Linked DNA regions of Rattus norvegicus. The protein of the gene in region 5 interacts with the protein of the main gene of each other region in a pairwise test. Links are inferred from orthologs where the notes say so. Each region holds a gene or a part of one and is shown on either strand. Other genes may lie near its edges.

The links.
Region 1: the proteins of Thap1 (region 5) and Phf1 interact in binary tests that used the Homo sapiens proteins (3 or more experiments, as listed by UniProt). The two-hybrid records come from large-scale screens. The link is inferred for Rattus norvegicus from reciprocal best matches to the Homo sapiens genes THAP1 and PHF1.
Region 2: the proteins of Thap1 (region 5) and C10h1orf35 interact in binary tests that used the Homo sapiens proteins (3 or more experiments, as listed by UniProt). The two-hybrid records come from large-scale screens. The link is inferred for Rattus norvegicus from reciprocal best matches to the Homo sapiens genes THAP1 and C1orf35.
Region 3: the proteins of Thap1 (region 5) and Ap2b1 interact in binary tests that used the Homo sapiens proteins (3 or more experiments, as listed by UniProt). The two-hybrid records come from large-scale screens. The link is inferred for Rattus norvegicus from reciprocal best matches to the Homo sapiens genes THAP1 and AP2B1.
Region 4: the proteins of Thap1 (region 5) and Bag5 interact in binary tests that used the Homo sapiens proteins (3 or more experiments, as listed by UniProt). The two-hybrid records come from large-scale screens. The link is inferred for Rattus norvegicus from reciprocal best matches to the Homo sapiens genes THAP1 and BAG5.
Region 6: the proteins of Thap1 (region 5) and Akap17a interact in binary tests that used the Homo sapiens proteins (3 or more experiments, as listed by UniProt). The two-hybrid records come from large-scale screens. The link is inferred for Rattus norvegicus from reciprocal best matches to the Homo sapiens genes THAP1 and AKAP17A.
Region 7: the proteins of Thap1 (region 5) and Mettl13 interact in binary tests that used the Homo sapiens proteins (3 or more experiments, as listed by UniProt). The two-hybrid records come from large-scale screens. The link is inferred for Rattus norvegicus from reciprocal best matches to the Homo sapiens genes THAP1 and METTL13.

The regions. Positions count from the first base shown.
Region 1 is NC_086038.1:5,018,512-5,022,774, forward strand, and holds the start of Phf1 (PHD finger protein 1), read left to right. Parts: upstream 1-1,463; 5' UTR 1,464-1,665; intron 1,666-2,326; coding exon of another isoform or gene 2,327-2,347; coding exon 2,348-2,506; intron 2,507-2,588; coding exon 2,589-2,670; intron 2,671-2,766; coding exon 2,767-2,862; intron 2,863-3,214; coding exon 3,215-3,315; intron 3,316-3,406; coding exon 3,407-3,555; intron 3,556-3,696; coding exon 3,697-3,792; intron 3,793-3,920; coding exon 3,921-3,989; intron 3,990-4,076; coding exon 4,077-4,200; intron 4,201-4,263. Other genes in the region: kinesin-like protein KIFC1, read left to right, coding at 255-299. UniProt on the Homo sapiens protein: Polycomb group (PcG) that specifically binds histone H3 trimethylated at 'Lys-36' (H3K36me3) and recruits the PRC2 complex. Involved in DNA damage response and is recruited at double-strand breaks (DSBs).
Region 2 is NC_086028.1:44,493,009-44,497,184, reverse strand, and holds C10h1orf35 (multiple myeloma tumor-associated protein 2 homolog), read right to left. Parts: upstream 2,801-4,176; 5' UTR 2,703-2,800; coding exon 2,458-2,702; intron 2,312-2,457; coding exon 2,266-2,311; intron 2,184-2,265; coding exon 2,101-2,183; intron 2,025-2,100; coding exon 1,952-2,024; intron 1,848-1,951; coding exon 1,762-1,847; intron 1,133-1,761; coding exon 1,001-1,132; intron 883-1,000; coding exon 765-882; 3' UTR 338-764; downstream 1-337.
Region 3 is NC_086028.1:68,599,274-68,603,522, forward strand, and holds the start of Ap2b1 (AP-2 complex subunit beta), read left to right. Parts: upstream 1-1,449; 5' UTR 1,450-1,566; intron 1,567-1,618; exon of another isoform or gene 1,619-1,762; intron 1,763-1,960; exon of another isoform or gene 1,961-2,074; intron 2,075-4,249. UniProt on the Homo sapiens protein: Component of the adaptor protein complex 2 (AP-2). Adaptor protein complexes function in protein transport via transport vesicles in different membrane traffic pathways.
Region 4 is NC_086024.1:136,590,479-136,594,460, forward strand, and holds the start of Bag5 (BAG family molecular chaperone regulator 5), read right to left. Parts: upstream 2,801-3,982; 5' UTR 2,689-2,800; intron 2,247-2,688; exon of another isoform or gene 2,231-2,246; intron 1,047-2,230; 5' UTR 1,022-1,046; coding exon 1-1,021. Other genes in the region: Coa8 (cytochrome c oxidase assembly factor 8), read left to right, coding at 2,934-3,056. UniProt on the Homo sapiens protein: Co-chaperone for HSP/HSP70 proteins. It functions as a nucleotide-exchange factor promoting the release of ADP from HSP70, thereby activating HSP70-mediated protein refolding.
Region 5 is NC_086034.1:72,609,891-72,613,927, forward strand, and holds the start of Thap1 (THAP domain-containing protein 1), read right to left. Parts: upstream 2,801-4,037; 5' UTR 2,568-2,800; coding exon 2,497-2,567; exon of another isoform or gene 2,444-2,496; intron 282-2,443; coding exon 86-281; intron 1-85. UniProt on the Homo sapiens protein: DNA-binding transcription regulator that regulates endothelial cell proliferation and G1/S cell-cycle progression.
Region 6 is NC_086030.1:21,425,448-21,429,477, forward strand, and holds the start of Akap17a (A-kinase anchor protein 17A), read right to left. Parts: upstream 2,801-4,030; 5' UTR 2,721-2,800; exon of another isoform or gene 2,630-2,720; intron 2,366-2,629; 5' UTR 2,290-2,365; coding exon 1,489-2,289; intron 1,160-1,488; coding exon 1,011-1,159; intron 354-1,010; coding exon 101-353; intron 1-100. Other genes in the region: Asmtl (N-acetylserotonin O-methyltransferase-like protein), read left to right, coding at 3,825-3,917, 4,023-4,030. UniProt on the Homo sapiens protein: Splice factor regulating alternative splice site selection for certain mRNA precursors. Mediates regulation of pre-mRNA splicing in a PKA-dependent manner.
Region 7 is NC_086031.1:77,426,605-77,430,104, forward strand, and holds part of Mettl13 (eEF1A lysine and N-terminal methyltransferase), read right to left. Parts: intron 2,203-3,500; coding exon 2,006-2,202; intron 150-2,005; coding exon 1-149. UniProt on the Homo sapiens protein: Dual methyltransferase that catalyzes methylation of elongation factor 1-alpha (EEF1A1 and EEF1A2) at two different positions, and is therefore involved in the regulation of mRNA translation.

The DNA.
Region 1 (4,263 bases), on a different chromosome or scaffold from region 5:
CTTCTCGAGCAAGGAGTAGCCTGTGTCATGCTGACATATGACCAGCGGGCATATCTCTATCATCTTTTCAGACTGCTGGTCTCCTCCAGGTTAGTGGACACAGCACCACTGTCCCTCCAGGGGGTCAGGCCGAGCCTGCTGCCGTAGTCCTTATTTCAGGGAGTCAGACAGTGGGCCCAGCATTGGGGCAGAATGGGAGACTTCGGATTGTAAGCAGTGATCTCGTGTAACCCTATTCACTGGTCCATCCACAGGTGAACCAGTGCGTGATCGGCACTGCTCAGGCTAATAAGAAATGAAGATGGATGCAGAGCCTGGCTCCTGTGCAAGCGGGTGTGCGTGTCTGTTTTGTGTATATGTATAACACGGGGGTGGGGCGGGGCTGAGACATGATTTTATTGGGTGGACAACATTATGTACCCAACTATCAAATAAAGAAAATTTGGTGTAGGTTAATTTTTTTCTTAATCTTAGATTTAAAAAATTGTGTGTGTACAGTTGTTTAGCCTGAGTATATACATGTGCACCATGTGCATGTCTCCTGCTCCTTGAAGTTCAGAAGAGGCTTCGGGGCCTCTGGAACTGGAATTATGGACAGTTTTGACCATCGATGTGGGGTCTGATCAGTAAGTGCTCTTAACCACTGAGCCATCTTTCCAGACCCTGTTACAGCTCTTAATGGTTTTATTAATATTGGTAGCTGCCAGATGAAGTATTGTGAGTAAATACCGTAAGATGTAGAAATGTCCATTTTGACCTGTTTTGCAGAGTGAGGGAGGCTATGGGCTTTCACTTGGAGGGACACACTAACTTTGCTGCCTGCCCTGGTGCCTCTCCTCTGTCCTTCAGCTCAGGGAGTTGTGCCCATAGTGCCCACACCGGGCCCTCTGTGACCAACTAAATCTCTCACTTCCCCTGCCCACCGGTTCGAACCATGGTTCGGTCCGTGCCGCCTAGTGCCCATTGGCTGGTGTGGGCGCGTCACCGCCCCAGTACTAGTTCCAAGTAGCCTCTGGTCCTTTCCCTCCTAGAGGAGCACGGCCATGCCAGTGCTCGCCGCGGGAGGAGTGGCTGTGTGCCCAGGTGCGGCGCGCGGGCGGGGCTACGCGTGCGCAGAAGGGCGGGGCAACAGAAAGCGTGAATGAGGAGGGCGGTTCCGCGTGCGGAGGCGGAGCTTGGAGTGGCCACGGGGGCGGGGCAACTAACGGATGTGGCATGGGGCGGGGCCCGGCCCTGACCTGCAGGCTAGCTGCCAAGAAGGTTATTTCCTGCTGCCCTCAGAGCAAGCCTCCTATCCGAAAAGGGGGCTACAGGGATTTCCTCGTCCTCCCCGACCGGCCGCGCCTCCAATAGCGCAGCGCCCTCCGGGCCTACTGGAGGTGAGGGAGGTGCTGCCTACCCGCCCCTCCGTCGTCTCCTCCCACTGGTGCTCCCCACCCTCCACTCTCCTCCCTCCTTCTGTCGACTCCTCCTGCCGCTGCTGCTGCTTTGGCTGCTGCGTCATACGCCCCAGAGCGGCCAGGACGGAGGGGCTGGGCCCGGGGACCCCCCTGGCCTCCACCTGCACGCCCCTCGGCGCTCACACTCAGTCTTCCCGCACCGGGGACTCACCCAGATCTCTTGGGTCTGCCCCTACCTGGCTTCCAGCTGCCCCAGCTGTCACCGGTAAGGAGAAGGCGGGAGGCCCGGAGGGGGGGGGGCAGGGAACCGGGGGTCGGTGCGCAGGAAGGGCTGGGGGAGCCTCCTGGTCCCAGTTTGGGATCTGTGCTGGGGCGACTCAAGTCCCTCCGTGGACTGGCAGTGTAGGGGAGTAGAGACTTGGACAGGGACACGCCCCCCTCCTGGGGCACTCAGGGAAGTTATCTAATCCCAGGTCAAGGAGCCCCAAATTTGAGGGTGACCTAACATAACCTGGCACCAGGATGGTGGCTCTAAATAAGACACACAAGCCTGGGGAGGCAGCTGTTTCTACTCCTTTAACGTCTTTAGAAAAGCTCCCAAAACATCTCCGGGCAACAGATTGCCCCAGTTAGGCTACCTCTACACAGCTGGGAAAGGTGAAACTAAGTGGTAACCTTGATTCTGCAAACATCTTTTCCACCGGAGGTCCGGAGGAGCTGGGATACTACGGAGCTAGGCAGGGGAGATGGAAAGGAGTGGAGTAGAGAAGCTGACCAGAACGACCTGCCTCCTCGGGGTTCTAAAGGATTACGAGACTGGGGTTGGAGATTCCTGGTCAGGGTCAGGGTTTCTTCATCCGTAACAGAAAACAACCCACACAGGGACACTTTCTCAGCGCTCATAAACTCTAACCATCCTGTTTCAGAATAGCCCACCCCAGGATGCAATGGCGCAGCTCCCCCGGCTGAGCCGTTTGGGTGCTCCCTCTCTTTGGGACCCAGCCTCCCCTGCTCCCACCTCAGGCCCCAGACCTCGGCTTTGGGAAGGTCAAGATGTGCTGGCAAGATGGACTGATGGGCTCCTGTACTTGGGCACCATCAAAAAGGTGAGGCCCACCTCTGATCCCCTGCCTTCCCAGGCCGGTCTGATTCCTGCCCCCACTTTACGGTCTTGGTCATCCACTCCAGGTGGACAGTGCGCGGGAGGTGTGTCTGGTCCAGTTTGAGGATGATTCCCAGTTTCTAGTTCTATGGAAGGACATCAGCCCAGGTGAGACCCTTCAAAGCACAGCTTCCCTCTGCAGCAGCTGGAGCCGATGGGGACGCTGGGTTGAAGTGGGCCTCCTGACACTTTGTTCTCTCACAGCCGCCCTTCCTGGTGAGGAGCTCCTCTGTTGTGTGTGTCGCTCTGAGACCGTGGTCCCTGGGAACCGGCTGGTCAGCTGTGAGAAGTGTCGCCATGGTGAGAGGGCGGGATGTTTAGGGGGTGCAGTTTGCCCTGGGTCTTCTGGGTTACCACTAGAAGGGTTACCCTCCCTCATAGCGTGAGTCACGCACGTCTCCTGCCTGGGCCAGTCCTCACCCTGTCACCTCATCTCAGTACAGGGAGAGGGAGCGTGGATGCAGGTGACAAGGCTGAGGGCCTACCGTAGCTCGCTCACATTTCTTAACCAAGCTTCCTTGGGCAAGGTCCTCAACTGCTAGAAGCCCGTTGACTCAACTTGAGTGTCAGGATGAGACCTGCCAGCGGGACCGGTCTTAAATGCCCTGGTCAGGACTTAAAGGCCACTCTGTGGCCTTCTCTCCTCATTCAGCCTATCACCAGGACTGTCACGTCCCCAGGGCCCCAGCCCCTGGAGAAGGAGAGGGCAGCTCCTGGGTCTGCCGCCAGTGTGTCTTTGCGATTGCCACAAAGGTAAAGGCACCTCTCTGCCTGCTTGTGTGGGAGCCTCCCGTGACCTCTCCTCCTTCCCTGCCCTCTGAGGCTTCCCTCTGTTCCTCTGCAGAGGGGAGGTGCCCTGAAGAAGGGTCCCTATGCCCGGGCCATGCTGGGCATGAAACTCTCCCTGCCGTACGGTCTGAAAGGGCTGGACTGGGACGCCGGACATCTGAGCAACAGGCAGCAGAGCTACTGTTACTGCGGGGGCCCGGGGGAGTAAGTGAAGGAAGAGCAGGGCCAGCCACGGCATGGGTGTTTTGTGGTGGTAGAGCCCAGGACAGAGGGGAGCGAAGAGGGTGAGGGGGGGCCCTGTGGTTTGAAGAAGGCTGAGGGCCATGGCGCTGTCTTCCCCTTGAGGTGGAACCTGAAAATGCTGCAATGCCGGAGCTGCCTCCAGTGGTTCCATGAGGCCTGCACCCAGTGTCTGAGCAAGCCCCTCCTTTACGGAGACAGGTGAGATCCAGGGAGACTGCACAGGAGCCTGGGGTGCTCTCTCTCCCGCGCTCCCGACTGACTAGTTAGCCCTCTGCAGCTCGTACTGGAGGGTTGAGTGAGGTCCCTCTGTCCTGACCCATATACAGATTCTATGAATTTGAATGCTGTGTGTGCCGGGGCGGCCCTGAGAAAGTACGGAGGTTACAGCTTCGCTGGTGAGAAGGATGGTGCTCTCCGCCATTTTACTCTATGACTCCTGACTCCATAATGCTGCTGCTGTTGACAATCTCATGCTCCTCCAGGGTGGATGTGGCCCATCTTGTTCTCTACCATCTCAGCGTTTGCTGTAAGAAGAAATATTTCGATTTTGACCGAGAGATCCTCCCCTTCACCTCTGAGAATTGGGACAGTCTGCTCCTGGGGGAGGTAAGGGTTCTAAAGTTTGAGAACTGGGGTTTTTGGAACAAGGAATGCGTGCTCCCTGGGACC
Region 2 (4,176 bases), on a different chromosome or scaffold from region 5:
CTTTGGGGTCTACCCAGAAGTGTACACTACCAGCATAATAGCTTTTACAATCAGAACAACTTGCTATATTGTAGCAACCCTAATTTCTACTGTCTGCCAGCATGTGCACACAGGCTCTATAAAATTGCTGGCTACTGGAGCTCTTAGCAGACAGCAGATACATTCAAATTTACAAGTTTGTTCTTCCAACTTCTTGGTCACTTGTATGCTTGTAAGGCAGCCTCAAGGACAGGATTCTGGTCCCTAGACCCAGTGCCCTCAGGTATACTGAATGGTGAGGTGTGGGGGGGAGGGGTAGGCTCCCAGCATAACCTGTCCTCAGTGAGATAATACACTCTACTTTTAAAATACATTTACTTAAGTACAAAGTGGGCTGATACAAAAAAAAGTAGAAGTAATCAGTAACACACACCCCAAAACCTCAAGGGCCTGGACTATGGCGGCAGACAGTCTCCTGGGCAATTGTGGGTGGGTGGGGAGACAAGGGGAGAGCATTACCCTCATAGAACCACTAGGCTCTCTGGTAACCCAGGGCCCACTCTGACCCGGAGTGGTTGCCTCCAATTGGCAGGATAGATCCTAAGATCCAGCAAGCATGGCTCAGGATGCTATTAGGGAGCAGCCCTGCCTTATCCCAGATAGGGATGAGATAGTTAGCAAGTAGGAGTGGGCTGGTAGCCACTTGGCATCAGTGATAGACCCCACAGAGCTCAGAGTTGGGCAGAGCAGCCAGGCCTCTGGTGTCCTTTGGTGTAGCCACATTCTCAGTCATCAGAACTTCTGTCTTGTCGTCTGTGGGATGGGTTCCTTCCACTGTCCTGGCTATGTTCCCGCTTCCTCTTATAGCAGGGAGAGAAGTCAGAATGTCTCTGGCGTCTGGGCCTAGGAAGACAGGGACACTTGAAGGGTCCATCACCCTGCTAAGCATCACTCAAGCCCTGGCCAGCTTTGCGCCCCACCCCCTTCCTTAGTGACCCAGATAGAGTTGGGCCTAGCCTACCGGGCAGGAGAGGGAGAAGATGAGCAGCTGTCAGCCTCCCTCTTGTGTTCTTTGTCTTTCTTCTTTTTGTGTTTCTTATGTTTCTTCTTCTTTTTCTTCTTTTCTTTCTTGCTTTTCTTATGGCTCTCTGCACTGCAAGAAACAATACAAAGGGTCTAAGCCTGAAGAACTAGAGTCACTCCACTGTGGGGTAGTCTCACCCAGTAGGGAAAGACAGAATAGGGCAGGGTCCATACCTTAGCATTGCACACTGGTCGTTTCTACACATTGTGAGTTTATATTTGTAAATGAGCTTAATATTTGGCTCCACAGCAGCAAGGGTGAATGCTGGCATGCTACCAACCTGGTGGGCCTTCTCTCTGTCTCTCTCTGCAGCCTTGTCAAGCTCGGAACTCACTATTTTACCTACATACAAAGCTGACATGGCACAAAAGTAGAAGTAACCTGACACACATACAGTTAAATCCCAAGGCCTGGAACCAGCTTATGAGAGATCAGCCTGCTTCTGTCTACCAGAAAGAAAGATGTGTGCCACTACCAAAGCCAACTTATACTTTTAACTACTACACCCCCCACCAAACTGGCTAGCATCATGGTCCTGAGTGTCACCCTCCTGTTTGTACCCATTATCCTGCTGGATTGCCTGTGGCAGCTACTGAGACTCAGCCGGGAGATGGAGGCCCACCTACTTCAGTAAACTAAGAGACCTAAGGCAGTGCTTTGCCCCTTTATGCGTGCACAGGAAGTCAGACTCAACTTACTCCAGTTCAGCCTTGTCTTCAGCACGGGGCTTCTTCCTGGTAGCAGATGGGGCAGTACTTGGGCCTTCGCTGTCCACACGGTGGTGCTGTATAAGAGTAGCTGTGGTGAGGGACACTCCGGGAATCCTGCCCCACATCTCAGACACCCCCAAACCCCAAGATCCTGGGCATTAGGGTTGACAGGGTTTACCGTGAACACTGACAGCCCAAGTTTGGCAGCCTCTTTGTCTTCTCGGGATAGTGCCACACGGCCCGCGGAGCCACTGCAGGGGACAGAGCATTTGAGGACAGTTCTGAATCACCGCCCAGTCCTGCCCTAGACTCCCCAACTGGCCGCACCTGGCGCTGCCCAGACCCAGCAGCCGGTCCACACCCTTCTCCTCAGGATCTCCTCCTTCCCGTTTGCAGATCTCCACGAAGTCCTGCGGAAGACAGGAGGTTCTAGGCCGGGACAGACGGACCCCCAGCCACCCTGCGAACCTTGAACCCCTATCTCAGACTCACCTCCTTGCTCAGGCCGGTGGGCTGTTTCCTCACGTTCTTGTAACCACTGCGAACGAGGGGCGGGAATGCTCAGCAAAGGTCTAGTCCCTCCTTTGCCTTCCTCGTGTGCCCCGCCCACATCCAACCCCGCCCCCAGGGTCACCCAGACCCCGCCCCCGGCGCGTGCGGTCGCCCCGCAGCCCAAGCACTTACAGTGCGGCCAGCAGCGCCTCACGCTCCGCCTCACGCACGGCTGCCAATTCTTCTTCACGGCTCGGGCCGGTACACGGCGCGCGGTCCTTCGCGTACCAGGTGAGGTCGCGGCCCTTCTGCCAGCGGCCTACTGGTGCCATCAGCGAGTTGCCCAGGTAGTTCTCCCTCTGCTTGTCAGTCTTCACATCTTCCCAATTGAACTGGTCTTGCCCGCCACGCACGCCGCCGCGACTGGAGCCGAACATGGTGCTGGAGCCGCTGCACCTTCTTCAGTATCTACGGTCTGGAGTCGGACTCCCCGCAGCACTCGGCCTCCGGACGCTCGCCGTGACGTCACTCTCCCGCCCCCCGCGCGCGCCTGCGCTCTAACTAACGTTCCTGTGCGCCTGCGCACTGCGTATCCCGGACCGACTCCATCTTTCCAAAGGGCGTTCATTGCTTCACCCACAGGCACATCCTTCGTCCTATTGCGCAGTACCTCTTCAAAAAGGCAACCGTGCTATCACACCTGATAACGCTTGTGTTAGGCATCTCCGTGGAGTGGGACACCACAACACCTTAGTGACACCAGGAGGGGCTGTCCGCTTGTTTCCTGGAAAGCCAAGCGTGCTAACTCCAAAGGCCTGAGGTCCAGGTCACTGTTGAAACTAAGTTAAGTAATGGCAAAACTTCACCGAACACTGAGGAGCAGATAAAGTCGCCAAAGGAACATAGATCAACTCTTCCGTGCTCTGAGTGACAGCGTGCATGGCATTACAGTAAGCTAAATACCACAAGTCGAAGCATCCCTAAACCAGAGCGATCTGTGTACTCCGCAGGTGAAGCTTTACCCGGCAGTTCACTGAGGCCTTGCCTCAAAATGAACAGAAACGGATTTAATGATAGATCACTCGCCTAACATGTAGAAGGTTTTGGGTTCCATCCCTAGTCTGATAAATTACCCAACCTGGAACACTCTAGCATCCCAAATAGACCAAGACAATCTCATTTTTGTTTTCATTCTGAACACAAGTTGGGTACCTGTCAGCAGCCTGTGAGGCTCCTGGTATAAGCCCTGAGATCAAGTCCTGGTTTTAGAGGAAATATCTGGATTCAGATCCCTCAGAACAAGATCATACTAGGGATGAATGGATGGTCCCAAGGGGAGCTGCACAATACATATCCTTTATTTGCCTAATGTAATTGTCATCTCCAAAGCTTACTGCCTTTGTCTGCTAACCTAGGCCTAGTCCTGGAAGCTTCTAGCCTCTGTACAATCTTGCTTTGATTGGCAGAGCTTACAACCCTTGACCATGTAGCTTCAAATGCTCTTCCCAAGCTTGGAGTGAGTGATGAGAGCCAGACAGCTGAGTTTGTGGCTGGGGTCCTTTGGCATCTTGGGCTTGATGGCCTGAGGCTTGGCAGGGGCCTTTTTTTTTTTTTTTGGTTCTTTTTTTTCCCGGAGCTGGGGACCGAACCCAGGGCCTTGCGCTTCCTAGGTAAGCGCTCTACCACTGAGCTAAATCCCCAGCCCCGGCAGGGGCCTTAATGGCCTCTGAGCATGCACTCTCTGCCTCTGCATTGTTGGCCTGCATTTTCAGGCCTTTCTTGTGCTTCTTGGCAAAGCACATGTTCTTCAGGAACTTGGGGTCAACCCCCTTCAGAAATTTGTATCTCTATGACTGGGGTTTCTTTTTTTTTTTTCTTTTTTTCGGAGCTAGGGTCCGAACCCAGGGCCTT
Region 3 (4,249 bases), on a different chromosome or scaffold from region 5:
TTGCTGGGATTTGAACTCAGGACCTCTGGAAGAAGAGACAGTGCTTTTGACCTCTGAGCCATCTCTCCAGCCCGTTTTGTTTTTCTTTTCTTTTCTTCTTTTTTTTTTCCCCCGGAGCTGAGGACCTAACCCTTGTGTTTGCTAGGCAAGTGCTCTACCACTGAGCTAAATCCCCAACCCTTTGTTTTGTTTTTCAAAGACAGGGTTTCTTTGTGTAGCCCTGACTCTCCAATTCATATTGTAGACCAGGCTATCCTTGAACTCACAAAGATTCACCTACCTCTGCCTCCTGAGTGCTGAGGTTAAAGGCTTATGCCACCACACCTGGTTACCTTGTTTTTTTTTTTTTGTTTTTGTTTTTTTTTAATATATAACAATTTATTTATTTTATGTATAGAAGTACACTGTAGCTGTCTTCAGACACCAGAAGAGGGCATCAGATCTCATTACAGATGGTTGTGAGCCACCATGTGGTTGCTGGGAATTGAACTGAAGACCTCTGCAAGAGCAACCAGTGCTTTTAACCACTGAGCCATTCTCTCCAGCCCTGCCGTGAGTTTTAAGTTTCAAATCTGGGGGCTGGAGAGATGGTTCAGTGGTTAAGATCACTGGCTGCTCTTTCAAAGGACCTGGGTTTAGTTATCAGCTCCCACATGGCAGCTCACAGCTGTCTGAGATTCCAGTTCCAGGGGACCGAACACTCTCACATACATACACGCAGGCAAAACACCAATGCACATTAAAGATGTTCAATAGTAGAGTGAGGGAAGCCTGGGTAGGAGAACCACTAAGCCTTACTGTCAAGGTATATATATAGATAGAGAAGTTCAAAGTGCTCTAGAGGCAGAAGCAAGAGGGGCTTAGTTTCAGGCTTGCTTGAGATACACAGCCCAATGCTGGTTTTTCTTTTTAAACACCAGTAGTACCAGTTTAGTTTCCTAAAGAAACCTGTATCCACTAAGTGTTTTGGGTACCTTATACCACGCAAGCCTACGGGCGAGGCAGGAAGGGGGCGCTAATAAGTTTCTCCAGTCTTGTACAACGTAGGGATTCAAACTCAGATCTGAATACTTCTTAGCATCTTTGAGTCGCTAACTCCTAGTTCAGCTGCCCACCTGTACTTCTGGTTTCTATCACCTCTATGGGCTTCTGAACCTTACATGCAAATTAGCCGAGGTTTGTGTTTAAGCATATAGGATATCTCACACAGGTTTAACAAAATTCTTGTTCATGGAAATAAATCAAGAAAATATCTACGTATTGAAGATATCCTTTGGAAAAGCCACTGCGGGTTTCCTTAGTCTGCCCTAACCCTGAGAAAGGTAAACCTTTCCGTTGCTGAGGCGACAGACACAACTTGGCTGTTTGGTTCTCCCGCGCACCCGGATGACGTCAGGCGGCGAGATTCTCTTACGCCAAAACTTCCGGCCCACCATCTTTGTCCCTGGCAAATTGGGTTTTGCGCAGTGTCTTAGATCTAGAGAGAATCGTGACGGGCAGGAAACCATTACACCACCTTCCCGGCTGTGCTCTCTGACTGCCGCCGCCACCCCGCCCTTGCCTCCGGTGAGTTCAAGGCGGCTGGCTTTGGGGTGTGTCCCTGACTGGGGGTAGTTGTGAAGGAAGGGAACCCCAAGCCGGGTCGTAGGCGCAGGAGGAAAGGAGAAACGGGGAGCGTGACGGTTGAGGATGGAGGGAGTCCTCGGGTGTGACCGTTGTGAGGGAAAAGCTTGGAGAAAGTACCTCTTTCGTAGTGACCGTGGTGGGTTGGGGCTGAGCTCCGGTGTAGCAGCGATAGTTGGGGGCTTCAAAACGAAGCAAGGTTCGGAAGACCGGCTTGGGTAGGGCTCAGGCCAGGGGTGTGGCCGCTGGAGGCCCAGGGAGAACCACCTAGATTTCCCGTTTGGCATCTGTTCATTGAGAAAGAAGCTTGGACGTGTCCGTCCAGCACGCCTAGGGAGAAAGGATTCCCGCGACCGTTTGGTCACTGAAACCTCCGTTGTCACCCGTATTCGGAGGCATCTCTCCTTATCCTGGACAGTTTTCTTGACCGGGTCTTGACCTGCGGAGGGAAGTGGGTAAAGAGAATAGGGGACTAAATAATGTTCTTCGAGAAAGGAAGGAGAAACTTGCGTAATTGACCTCCTGTGTGAGAGGGGGAAGCCAGTGAAAGTAAATCTTAGCCTGGAATTGTTTTTCTTTTTTTAGCTCCCTTTATTCCCCGGGGTTATTAGGAGCAGTCTAGTTTGGGCAAGGCTGTAAAAGTCTACTAGAAGTGAAAAAACTGGAATTTCCTGCCATTTCTTTATTCTTTGAATTCTCAGGATGTATTAGTATTTTGAGCAGCCCTGTTTAGAGGAAGGCTCTTATTAAACTCAAGCAGTTTAGGTATGAAGCAGTATGAATCTGTCATGGATGCTTCGCTGAATTTTTTTTTTTTTTTATCATTTAGAAGGGAGATTATTTTTTTAAAATGGCCAAACTCTTTTGTGACCTTTGTGGTTTAAAAGACAAAGGACACACTATAAGCACAGCAAGGCAAGTTAACTGAAAAGAAGGTGGTCTCAGAGAGGAACAATCTAAATTATCACCTGCTTTCCTTGTGTAGTTCTACTGCTCAGCCTCAGGGTGCACTTACAAGGTATTAATAGAAAGCGGCAGGTGAAGTAGGTGCAGCCACCAGTAACACATTCCCGGGATGACTAAGTGAGGCGGGCGGACATGTAAAATGAGAGCAGAGTAGGTGTCTTGCAGGGGAGACTCCCTGAGAAATAAAGGGGAGTGTGCTCTGCAAAAAAGCTCCCTAAAGTTGAGTGGTAAATTAATACAAAGTAAACATTCTGAGAAAATAAGACTCAGAGAAGTCCCTCACATCCCCTTCCCCTGTAAAAGGTCATTGCTTTCCTCTTAAGGCACACATTTGAACCAAGTCAGACAGGGAGCATTCAGAGGACATCATCCCCATTTTTCTTCTTTCCTCCTAGGCTTAGGTTTCCCCAAATGTCTTGGAATTTCATAACAGTTGGGTGTAAAACTGTTGGGCTTCTTTCTTTACGCATAATACTATATTAATGAATTAACTTGTAGTTGTTTAAATAGAAGCCAGAGGTGGATTTAGCTTTTAAATGTTTTATTTCTGATAAGCTAATTAATCTGAAGCTGCTATTGTCCTGGTGTTATGAACATTTTAGCCAGAAATGGTCTTCATACCACTCATCCTTATAAGCAGAGGTTCCTGGAATGTCACTAATGCTTTGCAGTTTACTGAACTCTGGCTAGTTATTGACTTCATGTGCAAAGAAGGGCATAGTGGCCTTGCCAGTGCTAACGTTGGCTGCCATTTCCCAGACAACTACTTGAAATTAAGACCTTACTAATTTGTTTCTGACTGTATTCTACCCAGCCTGTTAATCTTGGTTTGCTGTTGAGTTGCTCTTTGGGGAAATTGGAGGAGGGGAAGGCTGGGAGGAGAGAAAGGACGTTGACAACCTATATTTGGCAGAAACTAGGTTATGTTAATCTAGATCTATACCCTTGTACTGTGAAAGGCAGTGAAGCAATACTGTGGGCTAGGACAAGTTCAAGGATTACTGCTTTGCCTGGTGGCTGCTCTGTCCTTTAACAATGTCCCTAGGCCACACCTTAAGTCAGTCAGTGACCTTTCAGGTTTCATGTTGTATAAGGTGGTGTAAGTTCAAATTCCATTGTGGCTTGCTTATTTCTAGGGATTTCCTGAAAAATTTTGCCCCAGTAGGATTTTGAATTTTGAAGCACTAGGCAAGTTGAAGTTGTATTTTTCCAGTTCTATTGTGGCTTTGTGTGTGTGTGTGGTTTCTACTGTGGGCACCAGTTTTACACCCTATACTGGAGAATTTGACTGAATATTTGGCAAGTGTTTGGGAGGGTCTTTATTAAAAAATAGTTATATGAATTGTGAGTTGAGAGTCACAGGGACATTAAGGTTCTGTCACTACCACTCTTTCTCATTTTAATTAAATACTTAAAATTCATACAAATATATAATGTGTTTAAGTCTAGGCTGCTCCCCCAGCCCCCCCAACCCTTTCTTTCTACAGTGCTTTTGTTTAGACTGTTTTCATTCTCCCTTATCCCCCACACCTCTGCCCCCGCCTTAAGGATAGACTGGATGCCTTGTTTTTCTGCCTGTATGATGGCAATTATTTCATCACAATTATTGACTATGGTGTCAGTTAAATGAGTGATATATTTACCTGCTTTTTTTTTTTCC
Region 4 (3,982 bases), on a different chromosome or scaffold from region 5:
TCTGCACCTCAATCACTGCTCTTCTCCTGGCCTCTCTGATGCAGGGGTTTTTCTCCAGACTCACTTCGTCCAGCTGCCCGATCAAGCCCTGCAGCTCTGTCTTGGACCTCAGGTACAATTCAGGAGGGCTCTGTGCCTGGAGAAGTTCATTTTTCATTTCTCTCATCCTCTTGAGGACATTTTCTATCTTTATAATGGAATGGTTCTGTCCCAGGTCAAATGCATGTGTATTGTCAGCTTCCTCTTCTAAATCTAGATATTTTAGTAATTTGTTGATATCTTCCACCACCTCCCTCCGATAATTTCTGATCTCTGTACGCCCACACACATCTAGAGCATCTAAATCAGCCATCAGTCCTGACAGCACGCATGATAAGTGCCTGCAAGTCTCAGAACTGTCCACGCCCATCAGAAGTGCAATCAGAGTACCTCTGGCCTTGTTCACCTCACACATCACAGAATTGATCTTGGCGACAGAAGGATGCACATCCTCGGAAAGTGGCAGGGAAGGCTGTTTCCTCACACAGTCTTCAATAATCTCTTGTACCGCACAGATCTTGGTTAGTGTGTGGTACCTTGCTTTCCGCAAGGAGATCTTCCCTCCTGTTTTAACATGTGTCAGCCTCAGAATGATGTCCTGGATGGCTTCCTCAAACTCGCTAGTCACACAGTTGCTTCCACTGTAAAAGGGCACAGTCTTTTCTTTCACAAGGGCCTGAGCTTCTTGAAAGATATTCTTGATTTCAATCCGGTGTGGGTGGTTCGCGTTCTGCTCCAACTCTTTGAGAAGGCGTTCTGTGTCCTGTGCTGCCCTCTTCCTAGCTTGCTGGATGTCTCCTTTCCCTTCTGTATCCACAGAGTCGATTTCAAAAAGTTGTTTCGTCAGAATCCTCTCCAGTCTCTTGTAATTCTTGTCATCCGACAGGCCACTGAAGCCAACCACTTGCTGCTCTATACTCTTTACTTCCCGTTGGATCTCCTGAAGCCTACTAATAGAAGGGTGTTGGTTTCCCATATCCATACTTGTGTGTTCAGTTTCACAAGCACTGAAAGATAGCAAGAACGATAACTTATTAGTCTCTTAGGGTAATAACCCAATCCAAACACTCCTTTTTAGTACACTTTTTAAAAGGGCTCACTGGGGCTGTGGAGAGAGTTCTTAGTCAAGTGTCCAGGTTGCAACTCCAGAACACGTGCAAAAAAAAGCCAGGGAAGGGGCTGGAGAGAGGGCTCAGTGGTTAAGAGACTTGAATGCTTTCTAGAGGACCTGGGTTTGATTACCAGCACCCATATGACAACTCATGACCACCACTAATGGTAACTCCAGTTCCAGGGGATCTGATTTCCTTTCTGTACTCTACAGGCACGCATATGGTGCACAGACATCCATGCAGGCAAATGAAACACCAACACACATAAAATAAAACAGAAAGGCCAGGCAAGACGGTGCCCAGTTAAATTCCCAGGGCCGGGGAGGCAAAGACGGATGGAGCTCTGGGATTCACTGGCCAGCCAGCCAGCCTAACTGAGGGGCTCCAGGACAATGAGAAGCCTTGCCTCAAAAAACAAAACCAAAGGACACCACAGAAACGATGGCGGGTGGACAGGTCAAACTCTGGCAGCTGGGCATGCAGCAAACACACGGAGGGTTTTGTCAAAGGTTTAAAAGACACTTGAGGAAAAGGAAGATGTGACATGTCAACTGCCTCTTTGAACAGGTACAAAAAACAAACCAACCAAGCTGGTGAGCTGGTGTATGCCTACCATCCTAGCACCAGGGAGACAGAGGAAAGAGAATTACGAATTCAAGATCGCCAAGGACTACTTGGTGACACCAAGAATCAAAAGCAAAAAGAAAATAAGGGAACACGGCAGGGATTTTAAGAACAGACAGGAAGGTACTCATGGTCCAGCCTGGGTGGATGTCTAGGCCTATGAATTCTGTCTTAAACCATGAAAGCGAGCTGCATACACTTTCATATACTAGGTCAACCCACCGGGTTAGCAGCAACACAATCTCCTGAAATCCCACCAACCTAAGCTAGTCTTTGGAACCAGCAGGGTGCCCTTGTGGAAGTAGCTCTTCCAAACTGACAGGAGCAGCATTCGGACAGACAGCTAAACTTGCTACTTTTCAGAAAGTGGAACTAAGAAAACGTCCAAATCCTCGCCCTCGACTTCAAGTACCCGCCGCAAAAACCTGACGACTGCGATTAACTCGGTCACTCGCCTCCCCGTAAGTGTGCTTAGAGCATTTCCCACGCTCTCAGGTTTCTGTCAAACAGCTCACTTCTGGCGGGCAGGCCACAGAACTCAGTCCCTGGGGAGGGTCCAAGCCCGGCCTTCGCAGCGCTTTACTCCGAGAGGTCTGGGTGGCGGCGGTCTTGGCTGCCGCGGAGGGCGGCGAGGTGGGAGATCGGCCCTTCACGGGGAGCGGCACCGGAGCGGAGCCCCCAGCGTCATCCCCCTCGCCCTTCCCGGCTAGGTCTGACCCGGGCAGCCGGTGAAGGGGCCGGCGGAGGCGGCGGCAGCTACTGGCCGCGGCGGCCGCTCCCGGGTCTCGGCCGGGCCGGACGCGCCGCCACCTGACCTCACAATGGGCGCGCGGCGGGCGCTGGCCTGCGCAGCGAGGGTGGCCAAGTGCCCGACTCCGGAAGCTCGGAGGTCGCGCCCCCGCGCAGCGCTCACCTGTGCCGCACGCGCCATCGCGCTCCGCCACCTCCACTTCCGCAGCGTTGTCGCCGTCCTCGCACAGCGGGCCCCTCAGCTCCGAGCCCGGAGAAAACTCGCCTCCTCGTCCGTGCGGGCCCCGCAACCGGTCGTCCCTCTCAGGGAATGCGCAGGGTCGGCCTCGCCGCGCGTCGCCCCAGGCTTTGCGACGCTGCCGTAAAGCCAACCTTTCCACTGTCGCGATCCTGCCGTACGCGCGGGCCATGGCGGCTTTGCGGCCCGGAAGCAAAGCTCTTCGCCGGCTGCTCTGCCGGTCCTTCTCCGGCGGCGGCGTTCGGCTGGCCCGTGAGCGCGCTACGGAGCGCAGGGATGCTGCGTCCAGCCGGGTAAGCGGGACGCCGGGGCGCTGGCAGGGAGGGAAGCCGCTGAGCACCCCAACGACGCCCGCGTCTCTCCGGCAGGCTAATGATCCTTGTAGCGGATCCGCTGTGGAGAGTGCGAATCTTGTTTATTCTACCAAGTTAAATACCATTTGTATCAACACAGCTCTTGAAGTGTGTTTTCTCACTTCCGCTTCGTTAAGACTAGTGTTCGGTTTAAAGCGGTGGCCGACTTCATCATCTCACTTGTGTAGACTTCGCATTGTTTGTAAATATGCACGTGATGTCAGAGATCAACAGTGCTTGTCTGCAGCAGGAAAGGACGTGAAGCCTTTTTAAAAATCAGTTCCGGGGCTGGAGATGGCCCAGCAGTTAAGAGCACTAACTGCTCTTCCAGAGGTCCTGAGTTCAATTACCAGCAACCACAAGGTGGCTCACAACCATCTGTAATGAGATCCATACCCTCTTCTGATGTGTCTGAAGACAGTGACAGTGTATTCCCATATATAAAAAATAAATAAATCTTTTTTTTATTAAATCAGTTGCACTTCTTTGCGACAGGATGTTCTGTTTAAGGAAGGCCTAGGTTTTGAGTCTATCCGTCAGATGAAAACATTAATCAGTGGCTACTAACACTTCACCTGCCACTAGGCTAGTGATAGAGACTGGAGAGCTTCGATTAAGCAATAATTAAGAGAGGGAATGAGGGGCTGGAGAGACGGCTCAGAGGTTAAGAGCACTGACTGCTCTTCCAGAGGTCCTGAGTTCAATTCCCAGCAACCACATGGTGGCTCACAACCATCTGTAAAGAGATCCGATGCCCTCTTCTGGTGTGTCTGAAGACAGCTACAGTGTACTTATATATAATAAATGAATACATCTTTAAAAAAGAGAGAGAGAGAGGGAATGAGGGAGGGGAAGAGAGAAACAGA
Region 5 (4,037 bases):
GGAAGAGAATGCAGAGGAGGAAAGAAAACAAAGAAAAGACCGGGAAAGGAAAAAAACAAATCCAGCATTTAAGAACCCAAATTACCTTCTCATGTGGCTCTATATAGAGAAAAATAGTGGGCACAGCGTTCTCCTTCAGTAGCTTGTTGTTGCACTCTCTCTTAAAGCAGTCTGGAGTAAAGTGCTCCGAACAGATACTGCTGTACTTAGTGGGCTTGAAGTTTTTCCTTCTAACAGCTGCCTCCCACTGTTTACAAAGACTGGGACGAGTAAGAGGAAACCTAAGAAGATACAATTCAGTTCTCTGACTTTACTTTAAAAAATAAATAATACCCTTCCCCCATTCTCATACTAAGGAAAATCTTAACATACTAAGGAGAATCTGATTGGAGATCAGTTCCGGTTACTATTCTCACTCAGTGAGCTTCACCTTTTTATACTGAAGACACTTAACAGTTCAGTTAAAATAGATCGTATGTGGGGTTGGGGATTTAGCTCAGTGGTAGAGTACTTGCCTAGCAAGCGCAAGGCCCTGGGTTCGGTCCCCAGCTCCAAAAAAAAAAAAAAAAAAAAAAAGAAAAGAAAAGAAAAAAAATTGATCATATGTGCAAATTCTACGCATATTTTTACTAAAAATTTTGTGTCTTATAGAACAAAACTTGGACATATGTCTACATCCTGAAATAGACGTCTAGCTCTTTTTAATCACTCCAACAAAGAGACTACATCCTGAATTGGGCAAGTGACAAAGATGGTAAGGACGTTATTTTATGGCTTAATTCAGTGTATGGAATGGGGAATCCTTGTATCTATTGCCACTATGCTTTTCTATAACAAAAACTTGGTGGGAGATGCTAGAGGAATCAGAAATGGCTGAAAAGGAATGTTTCCACTTATTTTTACTATTCCACTACATAAGGTATGTGGGACCCTGATCATCATTTTCTTTATGAAGACCTAACCAATCTTCCTGCTAGTGTTTATTCTTTACACAGCCAGCTTTCTCCACTGCTACTGCACACAGGCTGGAAAAAAGATATTCCTGAAAAGAAGTACAACCACTGTGGTAGCTTCTTATAAATCTTAGTATCTCATCTCCTGGCATAGAGCACAAACTCTGAACTGTCAAGATCTTTGCCATTTACTGTTCTTACATAAGGAATAAGACTCATTCTTGTTTTTATGTTTCAACATCCAGCAGTTGAAACAGTAGTTTGATGTGTGCCATTTTTTTTTTCTTTTTTCTTTTTTTCAGAGCTGGGGACCGAACCCAGGGCCTTGCGCTTGCTAGGCAAGCGCTCTACCACTGAGTTAAATCCCCAACCCCGATGTGTGCCATTTTTAACTAGTCTGCATATTTGAAGACTCCTGGGCCATCTTAATAAAGCATAGGAAAGGGAAGTGGCAAGTCGGATGCATATCCCTGTCACCATTTCCTGATCTGTTCTGACATTCTGAAGGCGTATGAAATTTCAATCAATCAAGTCGTAGTAATTGGACATATTCTATCCTCTTCCCACAGAGAAAACACCAGCATACAACTCTTACTTTCTAACAAACACTTTTAAACAAAAACACTAGCTCCCCAAATCCCTGAGGGAACATTTTGAAATTTGTTTCTGTAATTGTTTTCCCTATAGACAGTTTGGATAATTTTCCAGTGGGTCTGATTTCTTAGCTATTCTCTGCATACAGTCAGGAATTCTTCCAAAACCTAACATAAAACTTGTAATAACGAATTTAGCTGCCTAAAAGTATGTCACATTTTGTGGACCGTTAGCATTGCTAATAATCACCATCAGTAACGTTAATTCTATTGCCTTCTTCTTTCAAGAGAGTATTTTTCATCCTGGATTCTTGCTTGCTGCACACACAAGAACAAGGCCTGACAGCTGTGGGGGAAAGCTAACATTAGTTCCATCAACCTTTCCCAGGGCATCTGAGTAAAGTGAATGCTATCGTTTCATTACTACCGTGTGTTGAAAGACTGGGGCTCATCTTGGCAATACCAAGAGTCACCTCTAAAACCCACAGATCCTTAAAGCTTGGTTCTTTGAAACCAGGTCTAAAAGTCCTGGTCAGATGTCAACACTCAGCTATCCTGCTTCCCTCCTAACAGCAGCAGCGAGGTCAGAAGCCAGGTCTCCCTCCCATGCTTTTCTAGTTCCAGTTTATCCCTATGGGACATTTCCACGGCTTGGCTTGGGACGAAATCCGGAGGGCAGCGAGAGGCTTCCAGGCGTCCATCGCTTGCTCGCCAGAAACCCTCCACGAGCGCAAAGGCGCGGCCGCAGCCTCAGCAGAGCCCAGCCAACGGAGGCGGCGCGCGCCGGGAACGCGCAGCCATGGGTCCCCGCCCCCGCCGGCCAGCCCCGTCTGCCGCCCGAGCCCGCCGGCCGCCCCGCCTCCTCCAGGTCTCGCGCGGCCACGCGCCGGGCTCCGCCTCCACCCGCCCGCGCGCCCCTGCCGCGGCCGCGGAGCACGCCAGTTACCTACTTGTGGAAGGAGACGGGCTTGTCCTTATCGTACCGGTTCTTGCAGCCGTAGGCGGAACAGGACTGCACCATCCTTCTGGCCCTCCACACTTCCCCTCTGCCCGGGAGGCAGGTGAAGGGGCCGTCGGTGCCGCCGCGCTCGGCTTTGATACGGTCGCCGCTTTCGGTGGCTTTGGTTAGCAGTTATGGGGACGATTACCTCACCGTGGGGGGTGACCACCCGGTCCGTTGTGGTGTTTGCTTTAGCAGAAAGACAACAGCTGTCGCTCGTCTCCCATCTTCAAGATGGCGGAGGCAGCTTCAACCTCACCTCTCGCGAGGAGTTCGCTCGCAGGCTCTGATTAGCCGAAGGTAACGTTCCCAGGGAAGCTGACCATTGGTTAGGGCGAGGCGTGCCTGGGGGGCGTGGTCAGCAGTGCGGAAGTGGGTGGGTCCTCTGCGCCTTGGCCGGAAGAAAGCGCGTTTGTTTGGGAGCCTTGCTTTAGTCTCTTGTAGGGTCTTGTATTGGTGAGTGTGGTAAACTTAATTCAATTTAAACCGCCTGTTGGACCCAGAAGCGTAAAGGGAAGGTGGGAAAGCTCGTCCCTGGTCACATGTAATTTTTAAAAAGGGCGGCTGCGGAGGTGTGATTTATACAAATCTGTGTTCCACGTTCAGAATCCAGATGGCCGTCTACTTAAAGAGCGAGTACAGACGTGCATTTCATTTCTTCTAAGCTGAGAATCAAAAGCACTTATTTTTTAAAATTTATTTTATATTTGTGAGTACACTGTCGCTGTCTTCCGACTCACCAGAAGAGGGCAGCGGATCCCACTGCAGATGGCTGTGAGCCACATGCGGTTGCTAGGAATTGAACTCAGGACCTCTGGAAGAGCAGTCAGTGCTCTTAACCGCTGAGCCGTTTCTCCAGCTTGGAACGTTGTTACCTTTGCGTTCTGTCTGTGCTGGAAATTGCGAGCTGTTGCAGCTATTTTTCATGCTAGAGAGAAGTGTTACATGCTTGACCTTCTGTAGTTTTGAGTCTGGGGCGCGTGTGCCCGACATCATTGTAGACCTTTGACTCTTGAGCCCGCATACCATCCTTTACTAGCCCCTCTAACTTCAGCACACATGGACTTGCCTTCTGAGTCACCATGTATGTGGTTTAATGCATTTGCCGGCTACTTAAATCTGGAACCCTGGTATCAATGAGATCAATCAAACAAACAAAACCAGGACTTAACTCAGTGGTAAAGAGCATTTGTTGCTCTTGCAGAGGACCCAGATTCGGTTCCCAGCACCCACAAGGCAGTTCACACCATCTATAACTTTAGGCAAATGGGCACCAAGCACACATGTAGGTCAGAGGACGGCCTGTGGGAGTGGATTCTCTTCCTTCCACCCTGTGGGCTTCCAGGGACCCAACTCCCATTAGTCTTGGTTCCCAGTGTTTTTATCAGCTGCTCCTAGGATTTCTCCCCCTTCCTCAAGACTTAGGTTAATCTCATAGAGTAAAACTAGTACCTCTTGGTTATTCTCTCACCAGCAATCTTGAATTCAAGT
Region 6 (4,030 bases), on a different chromosome or scaffold from region 5:
CACTTGAGGCCCTGCCCACCCATGCCCATACCACCTCTGACTGAGGCAACACTGTAATTCTGCTCTCCTCTGACTCTGCCCACCCATAAGGCCTGCTTACTTCAGCGCGGGCAAGCAGGGCAGCAATGAGCCGCACAGACTGCAGGTTGCGCTGGGCGAGCAGTAGCCGACGGGGCTCTGCACCTTCCTCTTCCTCACGCCCCAACACAGGCTGGGGCTCTGCCTCCTCCTCCTCCTCCTCCTCCTCTCGACGTCGGCCTCGTCTCTTCCGTGCTCGTTGCCGTGCCTCTCTGCGCCGAAGCTTCTCCTCCCGACGCCGTGCCCGTTGTTGCTGCTCTGCCTCCCGCTGCTTCCTGGGTGGTTGGGGGTGGGTGGGTGATGTCACTGGGCGTGACATCGTGTGATGCAATCGGGTTTGGCGTCACTAGATATGACGTCATTCAAGCAACGTCATCAAATGATTTCATCCCAGGCTGAAGGTGATGTGATAGGGGGCGACATCATAGGGATTGACATCATCGAATGACTTTGCCCCAGACAGGAAATGAGTGTGGGATAAATGAGTGTGGGTTTGCAACTACTGAATGAGTGACAGGTGGGAGGGACCAGGAGTGTAACAAAGAGAAAGTGAGGGGTGGTGATGTCACTCTGTCATTCATATGGGTGACATTCTTATTAACACATTTAACATGAGATCATACCATGATATATGATATTGCATCCTAGTGACATCACCCCAATGATGTCATATGGTATGATGTCATGCAACACAAAGTCATTTGGGATGATGTCACCTGGTGATGTCATCCGAGTGATATCGGCCAGCAATACCATTCAGCATGACCTCATACAAGACCTGATGATGTCACACAGCATGATGTCATCAGAGTAAGCTCATCAGGGCGGTGTCATTATCAACAATGTCATGTGAGTGATATAATCCAAATGATTTCCCAGTGACATCATCCCATTGATCCACCCACCAGTCACCCTGCCTCAGACTGGCTCACCGCTGGCCTGCCCGCCGCCGCGCCTCATCCTCACGCTCCTTCCGCTTCTGCTCTTCACGCCGCTGCTCAAGTTCCTGTAGTTTCTGCCGCTCCAGCTGCCGGCGTCTGATCGAAGCCTCGCTCAGGTGCTGTGTGGCATCTGATGTCACCTGCAGGTGAAGGAGCACAGGGGAGTGAAGAGGACGTGTGGTCACATCACAATGCCGCCCTGTGATGTCATGTGGGTGACCTTTGATCTCCACACTACCCCGCCCCCTTTGACCCCTGTGACATCATTGAAACCATCATGATGTCATGGACCCCACCCCTCATCTCAGGCACTGCACTTTTCCCGAGGAACCACCCACCTGTCCACATGCAAGCGCCAAGGAGTTCCATGTGTCATTTACATCTGGTGCCCCGCCCCTACTCTGTCAGTCATAGCTTAGTCTCCGCCCACAAGATGTCAATCCACTCCAGGTCCCGCCAAACCCCTCACCTTGATGCCGCAGGCCACAGCTTTGCCGTCCGTGCCCCTAAACATGAGCTTAGCACCACGCAGGGCAGCCATGGCACGGGCGTAGGCATCACGCTCTCGGTACTGAACGTAGGCCTCGAAGCGGAGCCGCCCGCCCCCGCCCCCGCCATGGCTGCCGTCCTCACCAAGGTAAGGGTCCAGCATGGGAATGTCCACATGGCGGATCTCACCAAACGCCCCGAAAGCCTGGCGCAGGAGAGCCTCGCTGGGCCTCTCTGCTGAGGCAATGCCACCAGGGGAAGAAATGCCTCCAGCCTCATCCCCGCCACTGCCCCCACGGGGCGCAAACCAGCGGCAGGGCAGGCCCTGAAGGTGGATGGTGTCATGAGGGTGGGCGGGGTCATCCGTGGGTGGGGGCGTGGCCTCAGCGGCGCTTACACGCAGGCCATGGGGGAGGCCGCTGAGCATCATAGTCTTGCCGTCCAGGCCAGCGAGTGCGGGACGCACAAGCGCCCGGTTCTCGACCTCGCCCTCAAAGCGCACGACCTCAGGGCCGCCCCGGGCCAGGCGCAGTGATGACAGCGGCGCTCGTGCCCCCTGTGCCATCGCCCGCAGTCCCTCCATCACCTCCCAGTTTGACACTGCACGACTTGGCGCACGCGGGGGTGGGGACGTCGAGGAAGGCGAAGGGGGCGGAGCTGGGGGCGGAGGGGGCAGCGACACCGAGATTGTCACCCGCGCGATTGGCTTCAGGTACAGGCCCAGCGCCGGGCACAGGGGCACCGCCTCCGAGGGGTCGTGCACGATGGTGGCTGAGGACATGGCCAGCAAGTCTGGGGGAGCGGGGATGGTGCAGTGATATCAGTATGTAGTGATGCTCATGGTGACGTCACAACATCTGAAACACGCACACAAGGTCATGACATCAGAGAACCTTAGGATGAGAACACAGCTAAGGCTATGCTCACCTGACTCCATTATGGCCAAGGAACCAAACCCCGCCCCTCCTCTCAAATAAAGCCAAGCCTCTGCCCCAGGCTCCGCCCCAGTCCTACATTTCTCCTGCTAGGGCCCCATCCTATTTCCTAGCCGGAAAACTCCGCGGAAGCAGCAGAAACAGGTCAGACCCAGTCCACGCGAGCCCGGAGTGTTCTCCGCTCACCTCCTCTAAGCTCCACCCCTGTGCTCCGCAGCGGCCTCGTCACTCTGCCCCGTTACCCTTCGTAGCCATTCCCGGGGCTCCCGTGACGCACCTTAGCTTCCGGTGCCCAGACTCTAGTCCTCGCCACCGTCTAAGGCCTTTTGGTAAAGTCCCCGCAGGCGTTTCGTTCACGGCCGCTGACAACTGATTTTCGTAGTTTAAATGGCCACTTCCGGTCCCGGTCACCTCTGATCCGGGATACCGGAAACAGGGATCACCAGCAGAATCAGCGGCACTCAGCGCGCACGCGCAGGTTTTTGCTCTCGCTCCCAGACACAGGAGGTTGCGGCTCCTTGGTCAACAGGGCGATAATCCTGTGACCAAGGCGCTCACCGGTGACGTCAAATACGATCGACTCCCTCCCGTTTCCTCCGTGGAGACAACGTCTGTCAGCCGCTTTCAACCGCCCTCCTGTGGCGGGAAAGCGGAGGAGCACAAAGGGAACTTCCGGCACCGCTCACCTCTGACCCCCGCCTCAAGAAACAGCAACAGCAGCAGGGCGCGCATGCGTAGACGCTCTTCCGCCCTCCCAGTTCCCTTTTGCGCTTAGGCTCCGTGACAGTGGCCTGCGGGGTCAGCACTGGTGACCCCTTCGTCGCCTTCGCTCGGATGTCACAACAAAGCAACTAGGCTCAGCAAAGAGCAGACTCTGTCCGCTATGCGTGAGGTCATAAACTATGCGACTCGTCGTCAGCCAGCGCGGCCCGCGTAGCGCGGCGGGCAATCCCGTGATTCCTAGCGTATCCATGTGTGTGACGTCCGCCCTGGCGCGACCCCCGTGGCAGTGACAGTGCATCCGGGTCGTCCTTTCCCGGTTTTGACGGAGGCGACAGGGGGCGGGACTTCCGGAATTGATTCCCAGGGCTCTGCGTGGTTCTAGGGCAAGTTCCGGCTCAGATTTTCTTTAAACGGACTTGAAAAGGGGCGGGACTTCCGCCTGTCATACTGATTTTTACTAGTATCTAATACCGCATACGCCCTCTTGCCTGCGCTTTTCCTAAATTTCGCAAGCCAAGAGGGAGGGGCGGGGCCTGGGCGAATTCCGGAAATTGCGCAAAAACGCCACCATTCACGTAACACGAAGGGTGGTGCCTGGGCTGCGGAGTCCTCCAGTGATATCGGTCAGGTCTGGTAACCCCGCGCGACTCTGGCCCCCATGGCACTGAAGCCGCTCGCCCCGCTCCTGCGCGGTTACCACGTGGTCCTGGCGAGCGCTTCGCCAAGGCGGAGGGAGATCCTCGACCTGGCGGTGCGCTTTCCGTTTGCCGGGTCACTGACAGGGAGGGAACCGGAAGTCGGTGGGCGGAACCGGGAGCCCCCAAAAATGAGAGTGTGACGTGACCACACCCCGCAGGGCGTGGT
Region 7 (3,500 bases), on a different chromosome or scaffold from region 5:
CTCCTGTTGCTGAGGAAGATGAGCCGCCGGAAATACCGCCTGTCCTCCCCTTGCACATCCTCAATAACGTAGTCACCGCTCAAGGCACTGTGGGCTCGCTGCTGAACAGTCCGGACCCCGATGTCCCCGCCAACAGACAGGAAGGGCACCTGAAGGGGGAGACAGAGATGTGGCAAAGCATCAGCTCAATTAACAAGTGTGTGATGTTATCCACCCTGCTCTGGTACGAGTGACCATGAGGACTTCCCCACATCAAGGACAGCATGGCTCCAAAGACCTGCCCTCCTGGGCCTTTCGAGAGAGATCATGAGGCTTACTCCACTTTAGAAACTCAGATGAGGGGTTGGGGATTTAGCTCAGCGGTAGAGCGCTTGCCTAGCAAGCACAAGGCCCTGGGTTCGGTCCCCAGCTCTGAAAAAAAGAAAAAAAAAAAAAAAAAAAGAGAGAAACTCAGATGAACACATAGAGATCCCCTAAGCAGCAGAGACCTGCACCTGGTGCTGCCCAAGAAAGAAGTAAGAGTTTCATCAGTAAGCACATGGATTCTCCACAGCCCAGGACAGTAACCAACGAGAGAGGAGGAGCTGTAATCTGTGAGAAGGAATCTGGACACCAACAGAAATAACAAAAGTCCAGGGGAAACGATGACCCCCTCCTTTCCCCAACTTAGTCTCATCTCTGGTGCATCTGCCCACATCTCGGGATAAGAGTATATTCCCTAAACTTGCTCTGTCCCATTCTCACTTCTGTCTCAGCAGATTTCCTAACTGCCAGTAAGTAATTCCTGCCCTTGCAGACATAGTGATGAGAGAAGCTCTCCAGAGAATCCAGGCCTTTGTGAGATCAATCTCTCTAACGGACAACAATCCCAGAGTCTGACAAAAAAAAAAAAAAAAAAAATCAGAGTCATGGTCAGCCAGCCCAGGTCAGCCCAGTGAGCAAGACCACAGGCTAGGAACCCAAGCAGAGCCAATTCTATCACACTGGCCCTCTGGAGCCCTGGCTGTCCCAGAGTCCAGTTCTTACAACAGACTTGCCAGTTTCCTGTGGTGACAGATGTCAACTGGTAAAGCCACTTCTCAGTGCAACTTTTATCCTTTCCAGCAACGCTGACATCCTGACTGAGCTGGCTGGGTCCTCTCTCTTTTATATCCTCCCATGATACTTCCTAGATACAAAACAACCAGGGAAGTCCACTTAAAATGTGGGGAAGAGGGGTGGAAAGATGGCTCAGGTTAAGAGCACAGGCTGCTCTTCTAGAAATCCTGGGTTCAGTTCCCAGTACCCACACGATGACGGGTCGCAACTGTCTTAGTCCCATGGGATCTGGTGCTCTCCTATGGTATGCAGACGCACACACAGAGGAAAGAACCATATACATAAAATATATAAATAGATCTTTTTTTGAGACCTGTTTTAAAAAAAAACCACCACAGGCCCCCAACCGCATATGTAAAATATATAAATCTGTTTTTGGAAAAATGTAAAACCACAAACAAAAAAAAACAAAAAACAAAAAGCACAGACCTCCCACCTCAACACCTGGAGTGGCTGGCTCTTCTCTCTCTGCTGGGACATTTAACTGTCCCCTAACGGTGACTCTCCAGGCTATGGTCAGATTTTCATCCTGATTTTCTTCTTTAATTTCTTATACTAATTTAATTTATCATTATTTAATGTGCACTGGTGTACTGCGGGAATATGTCTGTGCAAGGGTGTGAGTCCCCTGGAACTAGAGTTACAGACAGTTGTGAGATGCCATGTGGGTGCTGGGAATTGAACCTGGGTCTTCTGGAAGAGCAGCCAGTGCTCCTAACATTAGAGTCGTCTCTCTGGCCTCTCAATGAATTATGTTAGCATACAAAGTAATGGGTCTCACCATGGCCTCTTCATGATCTCTGTCCTTATACTTTGTTCTCATTTGTCCCTTCCCCTGGTCCCCGCCTTCCTGGCTGCCAGTGGACTCCAGGCAGCAGTGACAGCTGCTGTCGGAGGGGTTCCGTACCTGCTTGGGGGGCATCCCAGCTGGGGCCAGCTCCATGACTCTGGCCGACAACTCTGCTTGAATGCTTTCCATGCTGTCATACCGCTGGCCTCGGTGAAGAGCCACTGTGACCAACCTCCTGAAGCCCGCACTGGATGCCAGCTGCTTCCGGCCCTCCTCCATGCCAAAGAGCCACTCCGTCTCCCGACCCTGGGGTACTGGGATAGACGACATTGGTTACTAGGAGTGCTGGTGAAATATCAAGCTCCATGATTAATATCCACATGGCTAAACCAGTCACTGCTCGGGACCAGCTCCCTTCCTGTGACCCACTGAGAGACTGAGAGGGTAGCAATTCCCAAAGCAAAGCAGCCCATCAAACATGAAGCGGGACTAAGGACAAGTGTGGATATGTCTGAGGGGAAGGGAGATGGGCAAAGAAAACTCGCGCGCGCGCGCGCGCGCGCGCGCGCGCACACACACACACACACACACACACACACACAGACACACACAGATGCACGTGCACGCGCACACACACACAGATGCACGTGCGCGCGCGCGCGTGCACACACACACACACACACACACACACAGACACACACAGATGCACGTGCACGCGCACACACACACAGATGCACGTGCGCGCGCGCGCGTGCACACACACACACACACACACACACACACACACACACACACACACACACACACCATCCCAGATAGTGCTGTTTCCATGCAGGCCTTAACTCTAAGCTGTTTACAGACACAAACACTGGAATCCTCACAGTGGCCCAAGATGAACGTGGCATTGTTCCATCATAAAAATGAGGAAAGAGAAGCACAGAACTGAAACGACTTGTCTAAATCCACAATGCAGTGAATGCAAAGCTCAACTCAGGCCAGACGGCCTGGCTCACCGCTACGCTCCTATCCGCTCCGCTCTTCGCTGAGGTGGGGCTGTTAGGATTATGAAATACTTAGAAGGGTGGCTCAGTTCTCAAGAAACCAGGCTTCCAACATAACCACACCTCGCATGCACCCAGGACGGTCCCATCTTCTTCACTTCTCCAACTCTTCTCATCCCGCCACCCCTCTGACACCTTCCCTTCTTTACACAACAGCAGCTGACATCCGTACAGCACTCACCACACGGCCAGCCTCATTTCTACGAGCGTTTACACTTCCTGACTCTACACCGGGAGTTAAGTCCCATTCCATTTGCAGAGAAAACGAGGCATACAGGAAACAGTCACTTCTGCTGTGTCAAATCACCAGGAAGCTGGGACTGCATCCTAAGAACCTGCAGCAGCGCTCCCTCCTGTCTGCTACCTCGCACTGCCTTTCAGTCTGGAGTCCAACAGCACACATGCTAGCTAGAACTCGGCCAAGACGTCTCAGCTGGAACCCACCAGCCCAGCCTTGTCTCCATTTATCCAGTCCCCTGAGGAACTAGCCTTGTTATGCAATGTGTAATGGGTCTAAATTTACACTATCTCCTGCTATAGCCTCAATTCTC